Linked DNA regions of Caenorhabditis elegans. The protein of the gene in region 2 interacts with the protein of the main gene of each other region in a pairwise test. Each region holds a gene or a part of one and is shown on either strand. Other genes may lie near its edges. The genes, in order: lgc-22 and C29F5.1.

The links.
Region 1: the proteins of C29F5.1 (region 2) and lgc-22 interact in a two-hybrid assay, tested with the Caenorhabditis elegans proteins (one large-scale study listed by BioGRID).

What each region holds. Positions count from the first base shown.
Region 1 is NC_003282.8:4,299,105-4,305,037, reverse strand, and holds lgc-22 (ShKT domain-containing protein), read right to left. Parts: upstream 3,733-5,933; 5' UTR 3,730-3,732; coding exon 3,142-3,729; intron 2,707-3,141; coding exon 2,572-2,706; intron 2,467-2,571; coding exon 2,419-2,466; intron 2,265-2,418; coding exon 1,976-2,264; intron 996-1,975; coding exon 718-995; 3' UTR 590-717; downstream 1-589.
Region 2 is NC_003280.10:6,301,739-6,306,853, reverse strand, and holds C29F5.1 (START domain-containing protein), read right to left. Parts: upstream 3,330-5,115; 5' UTR 3,300-3,329; coding exon 3,216-3,299; intron 2,774-3,215; coding exon 2,600-2,773; intron 2,470-2,599; coding exon 2,267-2,469; intron 1,731-2,266; coding exon 1,536-1,730; intron 1,490-1,535; coding exon 1,303-1,489; intron 954-1,302; coding exon 645-953; 3' UTR 571-644; downstream 1-570. Other genes in the region: C29F5.8 (DOMON domain-containing protein), read right to left, coding at 180-425.

The DNA.
Region 1 (5,933 bases), on a different chromosome or scaffold from region 2:
CTTTGTGACCTCTCTCTTTCGCTGCTCACTAGGAAACGAACAACGGACTGGGTTAAGGATATCATTACTGGAAATGATAAATGGGTATTGTATGTTAGCCATACCAGGAAAAAAGAGTGGGTCCCGGTCGAGGAAACCGCGACACCTGACCTCAAATGAGAACTTCACGGAAAAAAGTGCTTCTCTCAATTGGGCGGGACAGTAAGGGTGTCATTTCCAGAGAGCTTCTTCCAGACTTTGCTACAATCAACGCTGGCCTATACTGCATTTAATTGGAAGAGGTGGTCCATGCTCATCGATTACATCGCCCTAGAGGATCAAAGTTGTTGCTGCTCCATGACAACGCAAGACCGCATACAACTTCTAAGACCCGCCAGAAGCTCCAGACAGTCGGAATCCAAATTTTGTCTTACCCATCGTATTCGCCGGGCTTGGCTCCTACTGACTACCATCTGTTCCGCTCACTCCAGAATCACCTTGCCGGGCAGAAGTTTCATGATCGAAAGGTCGTCGAAACGAAACTTAAGTACTTCCCACCAAAATTTAGAAAACAAAAGTTAGAATTTGGTCTGAATTGAAGTATTGCTAGAATCAATGTTTCATTAAAAATGTCTTTATTATACATGATTTTCGATATGGCGAAATTATTAGTGTCAAGAGAAACTGAGCAAGAACAACTAATTTTTACAAAAAATATTGCAAAAAGAAAACTAAAATTTAAAAAACAAAAGAGAACAATATAACGATAAAGTAGAGAACAGTGGATAAAGCGAAGATGACGTGGTTCAGAGCATGAGCAAATGCAGCGTATTGGAGAGTTGAATCTTCGTGTTTTGAGTTCTTCGGAATTGGAAGGAACTTGTTCACGAGCCCGGCAAATGTGGAGACTCCATGTGGGGGTGGGATGTCTACTTGTGAAGTTGCCATTCTCTCGAGAACTAGGGAAATTACGAAGAGGATCGCTGTCCACGTCATGTTGAAGCCGGCGTATTTCACTGAAAAATTTTGAAATTTCGGAAGCTTTGAGAAAAATTTCGAAAATTTTCTGAGATTTTGCAAAAAATTTATATCAATAATTTCAGAGCGATTTGAAGTTTTGGAAGTTATTGGAAAATTTTTATTATTTTTTTTTGAATTTTAGCAGTCTTTTGATCATTTTTTACAACTTGGTTCTGTAAAATAAAAAAATAATGCTTTTAATTTTTTGATCTAGCTAAACTTCCCAAAAGTGTTGAATTCGAGGTGTTTTTTTTTAATTTCAAAACATTTACAATTCAGCCAAAAGTATTTGACAAACTTTAAAATGTTCAAATTAATTTGGTGCAAAATTGAAATTTAATTTTTCCAAAAATTTAAAAAATAAAACCAAATTGAAATATAAAAAAAAAAAACGTTTAATTTTTCCAAAAAAAAAAACATTGAGGCGAGATGCGATTTTTCAAATAAATCTGGCGGCAAATTCCAATTTCAAATGATTGAAAATTATTTAAAATCGATTTCAAAATTTTTTTGATATTTTTGATGCGACTCCGTCCGTCCACATATTGGCAGTTTTAACAACGAAAAGCCTAACATATTCGAGTATGAAAATGTTTGAATTTTTTGGGAATTATTTCGAAAAATTTCTGAAAATTTTGAAATTTTTTCAAAAACTAAGGTTAACTTTTTTTGATCAAGCTAAACTTTTCAGAGTTTAAATTAGAAGTGGCCAAAATTAAAAATATTTGAAAATATTAAAAAGTTTTATAAGGAAAAAATTTTACGAAAAATAATAAAATTTTAAATTATTGCTAACAATTTAATTTTTAGTCTTTCAATTTAAATTGGCGCAAAACTGAAATGTAGTTTTTTCCGAAAAATAAAATGAAGCGATATGCAATTAACTTTTGTTCAAAAATAATTTTTTTTAATTTTCAAATGATTTTGACGCAAATCCGCTCACATATTAGCTTTCTTGGCACAGAAATAAACTTACAAATAGTTGGAGTATGTGCAGTGAACGATGGAAGTCTCTGAGACACTAAAATAAGTGACAAAATCTGTGCAACTACCGAGAATCCCAAAAGAATCGGCTGGGTCTTAGAAAGTTGGAAGAACACAGCGGCCAGCGTGAATAGAGAGGTGATCAGAGCTGGGAGCAACATTTCGGCGGTGAAATATACCGCATTTCTTCTCAGCGAAATACAGAGCTCACCGTTGTCAGCTTGGACATCGAAGGGATTACGACGAGGATCCGAGAGCTGCTCCACGGTGTATGGGGATTCCTGAAAAAACATTGAAAATGGTGAAAATTGAGACTGTTAGGTAGAAGCTGAAGCTCTGAATTAAAAATTGATAAATATTGCGGTTAAATTAAGCGAAAGCTCTGTACTATATTTACAAGAAGCTGTGAAATGAGAAGCATCACACAAAACTTGCCAATCCATTTTTTCCAGTGCCTCCGTTATCCGGAGAGTGGGTAATTGACTTTAAAGAAAATTTTAATTTCAATTAAAAAAAAAACACACAAAAAATTTGGTTTGAAAAAATGCTATAACTTCTGCAAGTTTCCAAAGTATCTCAAAAACTCACCACAACTTCAACGTCTTCAATCTTCCATCCAGACACGAATGGATCAGTGGTGGCTTCTCTTTCCTTATTCTTAACACCCTCTGCAACTGTGAAGTGTACTGCCATAAGACGTTTGTCGTCGAATTTATAGCAAACCTGAATTTGAAAATTTGAAAATTCAAAAAAGGTTACTTTGTCAAACAAGATTCTATACACTTAAATTCAAATTTTAAAATCTCAAAAACTTTATTCAAAATTTTACATTAATAAGTAATCGGTGAATCATGTTTTCAAACAAGGTGTTACCTACGAATTAGTCACTGGGTTAATACTTTTTCAGCTTTCTAACCCCTATAATTTTGAAATAAATAGAGATAAAAGATATAAAATTTGGGTCGATGCACCATGTTCAAAAATTTTGCACCGAATTGTTCAAGTTTCTCAAAAGATATCTGGCATATTCCATCAAAAATTGCCAACTGACAGAATGTTGTAAACCAGTATTTTTCTATAGTTTTGTACGTGTTTCTAAATTTTTTCAAGCCAAACGGCAAATTGATTCTTAAAACATTGATAATAAAATCTACCCACCCTCTGCATATCATTTGGATAGTCTTCATACTGGAATCTGAACGGTGTAGTGAATGAGAAATCCGACCATAAGTAGATCTGTCCGGTGTAATTTGCAGCCAAAACTTTTGATGTCACCTGTCCAGGGTTTGATGTAGAGCCACCGTTGATCTGCACAATATTTGGGGTCCAAATTTGAATCCAGTAGAAGTTCAACCAACTGAGCCCCCACTGTTCCTTATCCCAAGAGACCATAGTGTCGTTCCAGCTGAGCACGAATCTGCCAAACACCTTCACATTCTGCCGACGTTCGTCAATCTCGACATTGTTGATTCGGACGCTCTCAACTCTCACCACCTTCGTCTTGTTATCAGTCGCATTTTGGTAAGTGGTCTGGATATGGGTCCTGAGCTTCCAGGCCCTGTCTCCTCCCTGACAGGAATGACAAGATTTCCTACAGTTTGCCATCATCCAGACCGCATTGGTAGCACATTCCCCGGTGGCCGCCCATTCGGTGCATTTGGGGTCCGCGTCCTCGCAGCCGCCGGCGGTGCCCGCCGCCCACGCTAACGTGGCGGCCAGTGACGTGGCAATGAGAAGCCGAAGCATTCTGGAAGTATTTAAGTATTGAAGAGTATAACGGACTTGAAAGAATGGTTGAAAAAAAAAGAAGGCAACTGAAAAGAAAAGTGATCATCAATAATTAAGTGGTAGTCAAGGGTAACGAGAGGAATGGAATACGAACCGCCCCGGTTTCGTCGTTTGTATCTTCTTTTTTTGTTGTGTAAACTAGATTTGAAATGGTCGATTTTCAACTTTTTTTTGGTTTTTTTTCTGTTTTTACCCCATATGACTTTGTGTAAGAACGGCGACCTTTTTTGACATGATCAATTGAATTGACCATTTTAAAAATAAATTGATGAAGATATAATGATGACAGTGAGCTTAGAAATTGCTTCGGTCAAAGCCATTCGGCCTGAAAATAACTCGGCCACGGTCACCTGCTAGTCCTATAGGTTACAATTATGATGTTACAGGGAGCCTAGAAAATTCAAAATGGTGACGTCCTAAAAACTTTTTCGGCCAATGAGAGGTTTCGTTTTGTGAGTTCACGTGTGGCTCTTTGGCCATCTCTTTATAACTACAGAAAGCTCCTTTGTGCCGTCACAGGTGATTTGATAAGCCTTAGTGAACGTTTTGAAGATTATTCATAGATTTGAAAATTATTGAAAAAAAAACTTCACTTTCAATTAGTTATGCAGAACGAAAATGTTTACAAACAATTTTTGTTTCTGTTATCGGATTTTCTTATTTCTTTTTTTTTTACAGCTTATATCTCGTTTGGGTTTAGTTTTGTTTAAAAAGTATTACTTCAATCAAAAACTTACAAAAATTAAAAATTTAACCGATATGTGTAATCAAGTGGAGGGGCCTTAGAGGAACTCTGCTTGGATTGAAAGTAGGGAAACGGCGGCCGCAACTTATTAAAATTGAATGAGCAAAAAAGACTGGAGAGAGTAGTTTACTTGAAAAAATTCCATATTTACATAATATAAATTAATGAAAATTAAAACCAATTGATTCTCGGAAAGCAAGGTTTTCATCAAAAGTACGAAACATGCCGATAATGACCACAAACGACTCGAAAAAAGAAACAATAAACGCGACAAAAAAGCAAGAGAGACCCGTCCGCCCAGCTTCACATCCCCCAAACGGGTTGTCCGAAGGCTAGTTAGCCGCCACACGCCGCCGCCACCGCCTTAAGCTTCTTCTCATCAGATCTCGTTGACGACGACGCAACAGGTCTGCTGAGATAATGATAAGGTTGTAAAGTGGGGGCCTGTTCCCGAGATAATGATAATGACGGGGGAGAAAAGACACCTACATGCAAAAACCGACAAAGGGCTTTCCAATGATCAAATCGTTATGGGATTAGACTGTCATGGGATTTTCTGATTTTGGAATCGGGATTTGAGATAGAAACTAGAATTTCGCTGGTTTTTGATTTATGACTTAATTGCTTATGGACATCAAAAGTTTTCCAACTAACAATTTAGAAGAATAAAATTATACATATTTTTTATAGATAATTTTTTTAACCCAGACTGAAAATGAAAGAGAGGACCGGTTTTTTTTTTGGATAAAATGTTTAAAAGGATATTTAAAATTTGAAATTCCGGTTCTTTTTTTTGAAAAATGAAATTTAATTCAAATTATATTTTTTAAAGATATTTGAAATTCTTGTCTTGTCGGAAGATATTTTGTTAAAAATGTTTTTTTTATTTCCCGCCAATTGTTTTTTAAACTAAAGTTTAAATTGTTTTTAAACTTTGAAAAAAATTAAAACAAAATTTGAATTCCCGCCAAAAATTGTTAGATAATTTAAAATCAAAATTATCCCGAAGTGCCAATTTTTTGTTTTAAAAATATAAATTTTGAAATTTCCGCCAAAACTCTTCACAACACTTTGGAACATTAGAATTTTTGTAAAGTTTTTTTTTTGAAATTTCCGGCAAAACTGTTTTCAAATTCCAGTAAAAAAACCAATTTTTAAAATAAAAATTTCCTCCAAAACTGAAAAAATTGAATTTTCGTTTAATTTTTTGCAAAACAAAAAAATAACAAATAATGGAATAAACAATTGAAAAAATTAATTTTAAAAAAAAATTATTACATTCCTACCAAACCTAAAAACATTTCCTATAAAAAACAATTGGCAGAAACTAATTTCCGTCGTTAATCTTCTGCCAAACATCTTTCCACCCAATAACACACTACCTTTTTCTTATACCCGTCCGCCGAACCAGTTTCCT
Region 2 (5,115 bases):
TAGAAAATTAAAAAAAAACTGTATTGCTAGCCGATAAAAATGAGGAGTTTGGCAGTTAAGAACAGGACTGGAACATGATAAGTCTTACACACGATTTTTTAAAATTTGAATGCTTTCACAATTAGCAACATTTAGAGACAAGAATAAAGCAACATTTCAAAACTTCCAAACAAGCCTACCATCAAACCATCTTTTGAAAATCCGAAACCGAGCCACATATCAGGCTTCACCAGTTTACTTTCAATTTCAATAATCAAATGTCTTCTTTCATGTTTCCACGTCATCATTGTCTGACAGTCACTGGCATCTTTACATCCATTTGGTAGTTTCCAACAACCTCTTGCAGTTCCACAGTCACTGATATGAGTTACGTGGAAACTAGTGACGTGGCATATGAATAAAATGAAAAAAATGAATAGAATCATCATAAGTTTGAATCAACATTGATCATATCAGAGGGGCCATTTATAGGTGTGTTTTAAGCTGGAAAGTCTAGAAATAACAACGGACATTGTTCTTCTTTTCCAAGAAGTGATGATAAAACTGGTTTCTATTTAATGATTCTCGCTTCCAAAACACAATTATTTATTTGTTAGAACACATTATACAAAAAGGAAATTAAATTGGAAACGGTCATTCATCAATCACTTTTGCTCTTCTGGCTCATCATCTTTGCATTGTGTAGCCAAGAAATCACGGACTCCCTTACTGATTCCACCAGTTGCTTCTTCGTGTTTCGCGAAGATTTCCAGATGAGCTTTTCCTTTCCACACAAGTCCACATCGGAAATTGTCATCGTTCTTAGTCAAGAATTTGTAAACTTTGTCAAGACAGTCGTGAACTTTGCACAAAGAGACCAACGGAAGGGGCTTCATCATTTTAGAGACATCTTGCAAAGTGTAAATAGCTGGCTTTCCGAAATCTCCGTTTCCTTTGAACCAACCAAGAAGCTCCTGCAATTAGATAATTTTTTTGATGGGTGGAAAATGTAAAATTATTGATCTGATGAGTTTTATTTTTTGCGCAATTTCGTAGGCCCATAACTATTTTATATTGAGAAAATCTCTCTCAAAAAACGCTGTTCATTATGCGCTCAAAAAATAATAAAATGGTAAAAGTTGTGGCAGAAGTTGCAAAAAGCGTGGATAAACCTTTTTTGTCCAAGTTGGAAGCATCTGTTGGAAATATCGTACCAAAATCTATCTACATATACTTGGACAAGACATTGACAAGATGTTCATAATTCTGTCTAAGTTACAGTCGAGTATAAAAATCTTTTTTCAAAATATTTCATAAACTTACATGGTTAGCATTAGTGAAGAACAACTGAGCCCACGTGAAAAATGGGAATCCAGCTCCTTGTGGGTATGTTGTGAGTACTTGAAGTGGAACATCATGTGGTACTTCTCCATAATTCACTACTTCAATATCCGGGTTCATATCACTTTTCTTTTTCTCTGGCAGAACTTCAGATTTATCTACTGGGACTCTAAAATAATTTAATTTTTTGTTTACTATTACAAAAAAAAACATACGGAGTGGCTTTGACAGCTGCATAATCAGCACAGTCAACTTCATATCTAACAAGAATTCGGAATTGCCCATATTGATATGAAACAAGTTGGAAGAATGGACCCGTTGAATGAGCACCACGGGGGCGAGTCATTCGATGTTTCAGATTTTGATCAAAAGTTACATGTCCGATTTCCATTAAATCAGAAGCTTCCATTCTGAAATACAATTATTGGTTTGTTTTGAGTAAATAAGAATACCGAAAAGTTTAGAAGTTTTGCTTTGAGAAGGGCTGACAAGGCAGATGTTCACTTTTTGGTGCGAATTTTTCAAGAATTTATTTCAAGTTCTAAACTTTTCTGAATTTTGAAAAATCCAGTTACTAAGCATCACGAAAACTATAAAAACTTTTTAAAAACAAAAAAGTTTTTAATAAACAGATAAAACTAAATTTTCTCGTTTTCAGTTTGCATGCCTACCGTATATCCTCTATTAGTTTTGCACCCCTTTGCTCAACTTTGACAGCTCATATCTCATTTTGTTTTGAACATATAAATAATTAACAAACTACATACTATAGAAAACCACCTAACAAATATTTTATCAGTTGACAACTTTTCTATAGAACAAACGACTACTGAGATATGAGCTGCCAAAGTTGAGCCAAGGGGTGCAAAACTAATAGAGGATATACGGTACCTTATTTTTATTTATTACCTATACATAGGTATATATACTACCTATTTATTTTTACCTAGTGAGCAGAACAGTCTTTCCAACGCGTTCACAATCGATTCGGAACAATCCTTCTCCGGCTTCATTACAGAATGCAAAAATCTTTTGCAAATTGATAGCATCCGTGATAAAATGGAATTGAGAGAAATCGATTGGTTTCTTCTTTTTCTCACTGAGCAAACGTGCCGCAATAATGATGGCATCCAAAGATCCTTCCCGTACCTGTAATTATATTGATTTCCAAATCAGCACATTGCTTGTAAAAATGGATTGATTTTTGTTTTCCAAATAAAAAAATCTACACGCTTCTCGTGCTTCAACTCGTGTTTCAGTCAACAACTTATGAACTCACTTTCAAATGATTGACGTCATAAATAATCACTCCATGATCTTGCATCAACTTGCCACCTGGCCAATAGAATGATTCAACAGGTGCTCCTGGAACAAGAATAGTTGCTGTCTCATCATTGAGATACCATTGATACGATCCAATACGGTCTACATATTTTGTACTTGTTGGTCCTCCCTGTAAAATTGATTTTTATTAACGAAAACAGTAGATGATTCGCTCTCACGTTTACTGTAATCTCACATTTACTTTCATACATTTTTTCCACAAAATCTTCAGCAAATCATTTAATTTTTAATGGATCTTTATACAACAAAAAAATTTCCATATATTTTTAAAAAACTTCCATATATTTCTAATTATAATATTTTCATAAGACATTTAAAATTTTAAGCTAGGAAACTTAAAAATTCTAATTTTTGTAGCAAAAAATCTAGAAGACAACTTTTAAACTAATACAATAAAATATCAAGAAGTTTTACCATGTTGGTTGGTCATAAGTGAATGCTCGGCATCTTCTCAATTGTGAAATTCATTAATAAGTAAAGAAATACAATAGCTAGAAAAACATTCTCCAACCAAAAAAAAAGTCCTACATCGATATTTAATAACTACTCACCTTTCCAGATAAATTGTTTAATGGAAGAAGACCGTATGGTTCTTCTTCAAGACCTTCAAACAACCAGAATCCGTCGGCAGACATATCGAACAGCGGCTATACGGCGATCTGTCCAGCGACGTGTTGTGTTTTAAAGAGAGGCCATTCTTCAGCACAACGGATCCCTACGAAAGAGAGAGAGAGAGCACATGAGGGGGTGTTCGGGAACAAAAAATAGTCTATGAAGACAGAGACTCAGATAAGATTACAATGCGGGGGAGCAGGAGCTCCCGTCCAATCTCATCGACAAAGTTTCGAAACACCGATGATGATGACGGGATCCCAATATCTCGGAGAAAATAAAGACAATGAAAAGATTTCGTATAGATTTGGAGGACACACGCACACATCGATTGACCATCACCTGGAGTGGGAGCATTGGGCTACGTTTTTGTGATAACGAATAATTTAAAATGTTGAGAATAAGTATTTCAGCGTTCGCTTAATTTATAATTTTCTAAAGACAGAAATCTGTATCACGAGGCTGTAGAATGACAAATATTTTATTTGAAAGCTCATAATGATAAATTTTAGACAGAACGATTTCCCAACCAGTTAGATTTCAAACCTCAAAAAGATTAGCAAATAAAAATTCGAGCAACATTAAACAAAAACTTGGGAACTTTTTTATTCAAAACGCTTCCATACTGTTCACAAAGGATGAATAAATATAAATTTCTGTAGACTGTTAATTCCCTTCAAAATATGCTAAATAATGTTGATTGGATATTTAAAAAAGAGACTCTGAAGAATATCGATGTTTGTGATCAATTGGATATCGAGGAGTATCAATTTCCAGAAGATTGTGCCAACAAAGGATCAAATAGAAGCTTTAGGGTTAGAATTGGGCAAACGCTGTCATCCAGAAAATTGGCCACTTGTGGCGTCCCACAAGGCGCAGTTCTGTCACCACTTTTGTTTGGTATCTATGTTAATGATATATCATCAATATTACCCGAAAAAGTAGCATGTAAACAGTTTGCAGATGACACGAAATTGTATGTATCGACCCCTAAGACTGAAAGCGAAAACAATTTACAGTCTGCTCTAGATGCTGTAGTAGATTGGACAAGGGGATCAAAACTCACTCTAAACCAATCAAAGACAGTTCACGTCACTGTAGAAAAACGTAGAATAGATTTCAAATACCACCTAGACGGTTACCCTATTGAACGAAAAGCTATTACCAGAGACCTTGGATTTTTATTCTCTGAAAAGCTGGATTTCTCTGAGCATTGGAAGAAATGTATCAATCTAGCTAAATTTCAACTGGCCAACATGTTCAACCAGTACAGTACCTCCAATAAGAAACTAATGATTCTCTTATACAAAACTTTCATCCGCCCTCGTTTAGAATATGGAACAGTAGTGTCTTCTCCGACAAAAAAATCGGATGAGAAAGCAATAGAGTCTGTACAAAACGCATTTTCTAGGCGCCTTTATAGTAGAATCAAAAAAAGATATATTAATCCAACTGATAAAGATTACAAAACTGCCATGGAACGTAACGAACTATTCGACCTCCAAACCTTAAGCACGAGACGTAAAATAATTGACAGAATCCAAGTAATCAGAATGAATACTGGTAAAGTAGACTTAAAAACATCTGAGTTTTTTGAGCAACAAGAGACCCACACTCGTTCTAAAAAGAAATATATCTGGAGCACAGGAAAATCTAAACTTAGGAGACACTTTTTTGTCAACAGAACACTACCCACAATGAAGCAACACTGATCTAATGTTACCTTATCCTCACTTCTATTCATCATTTATTCTTGCCTTTTATACATCGATATTTGTGTTTTTTGCTTCTTCTCCAATGTAGCCATTATTTTCTTCTCATCTCTTTTTTTATTTTTGT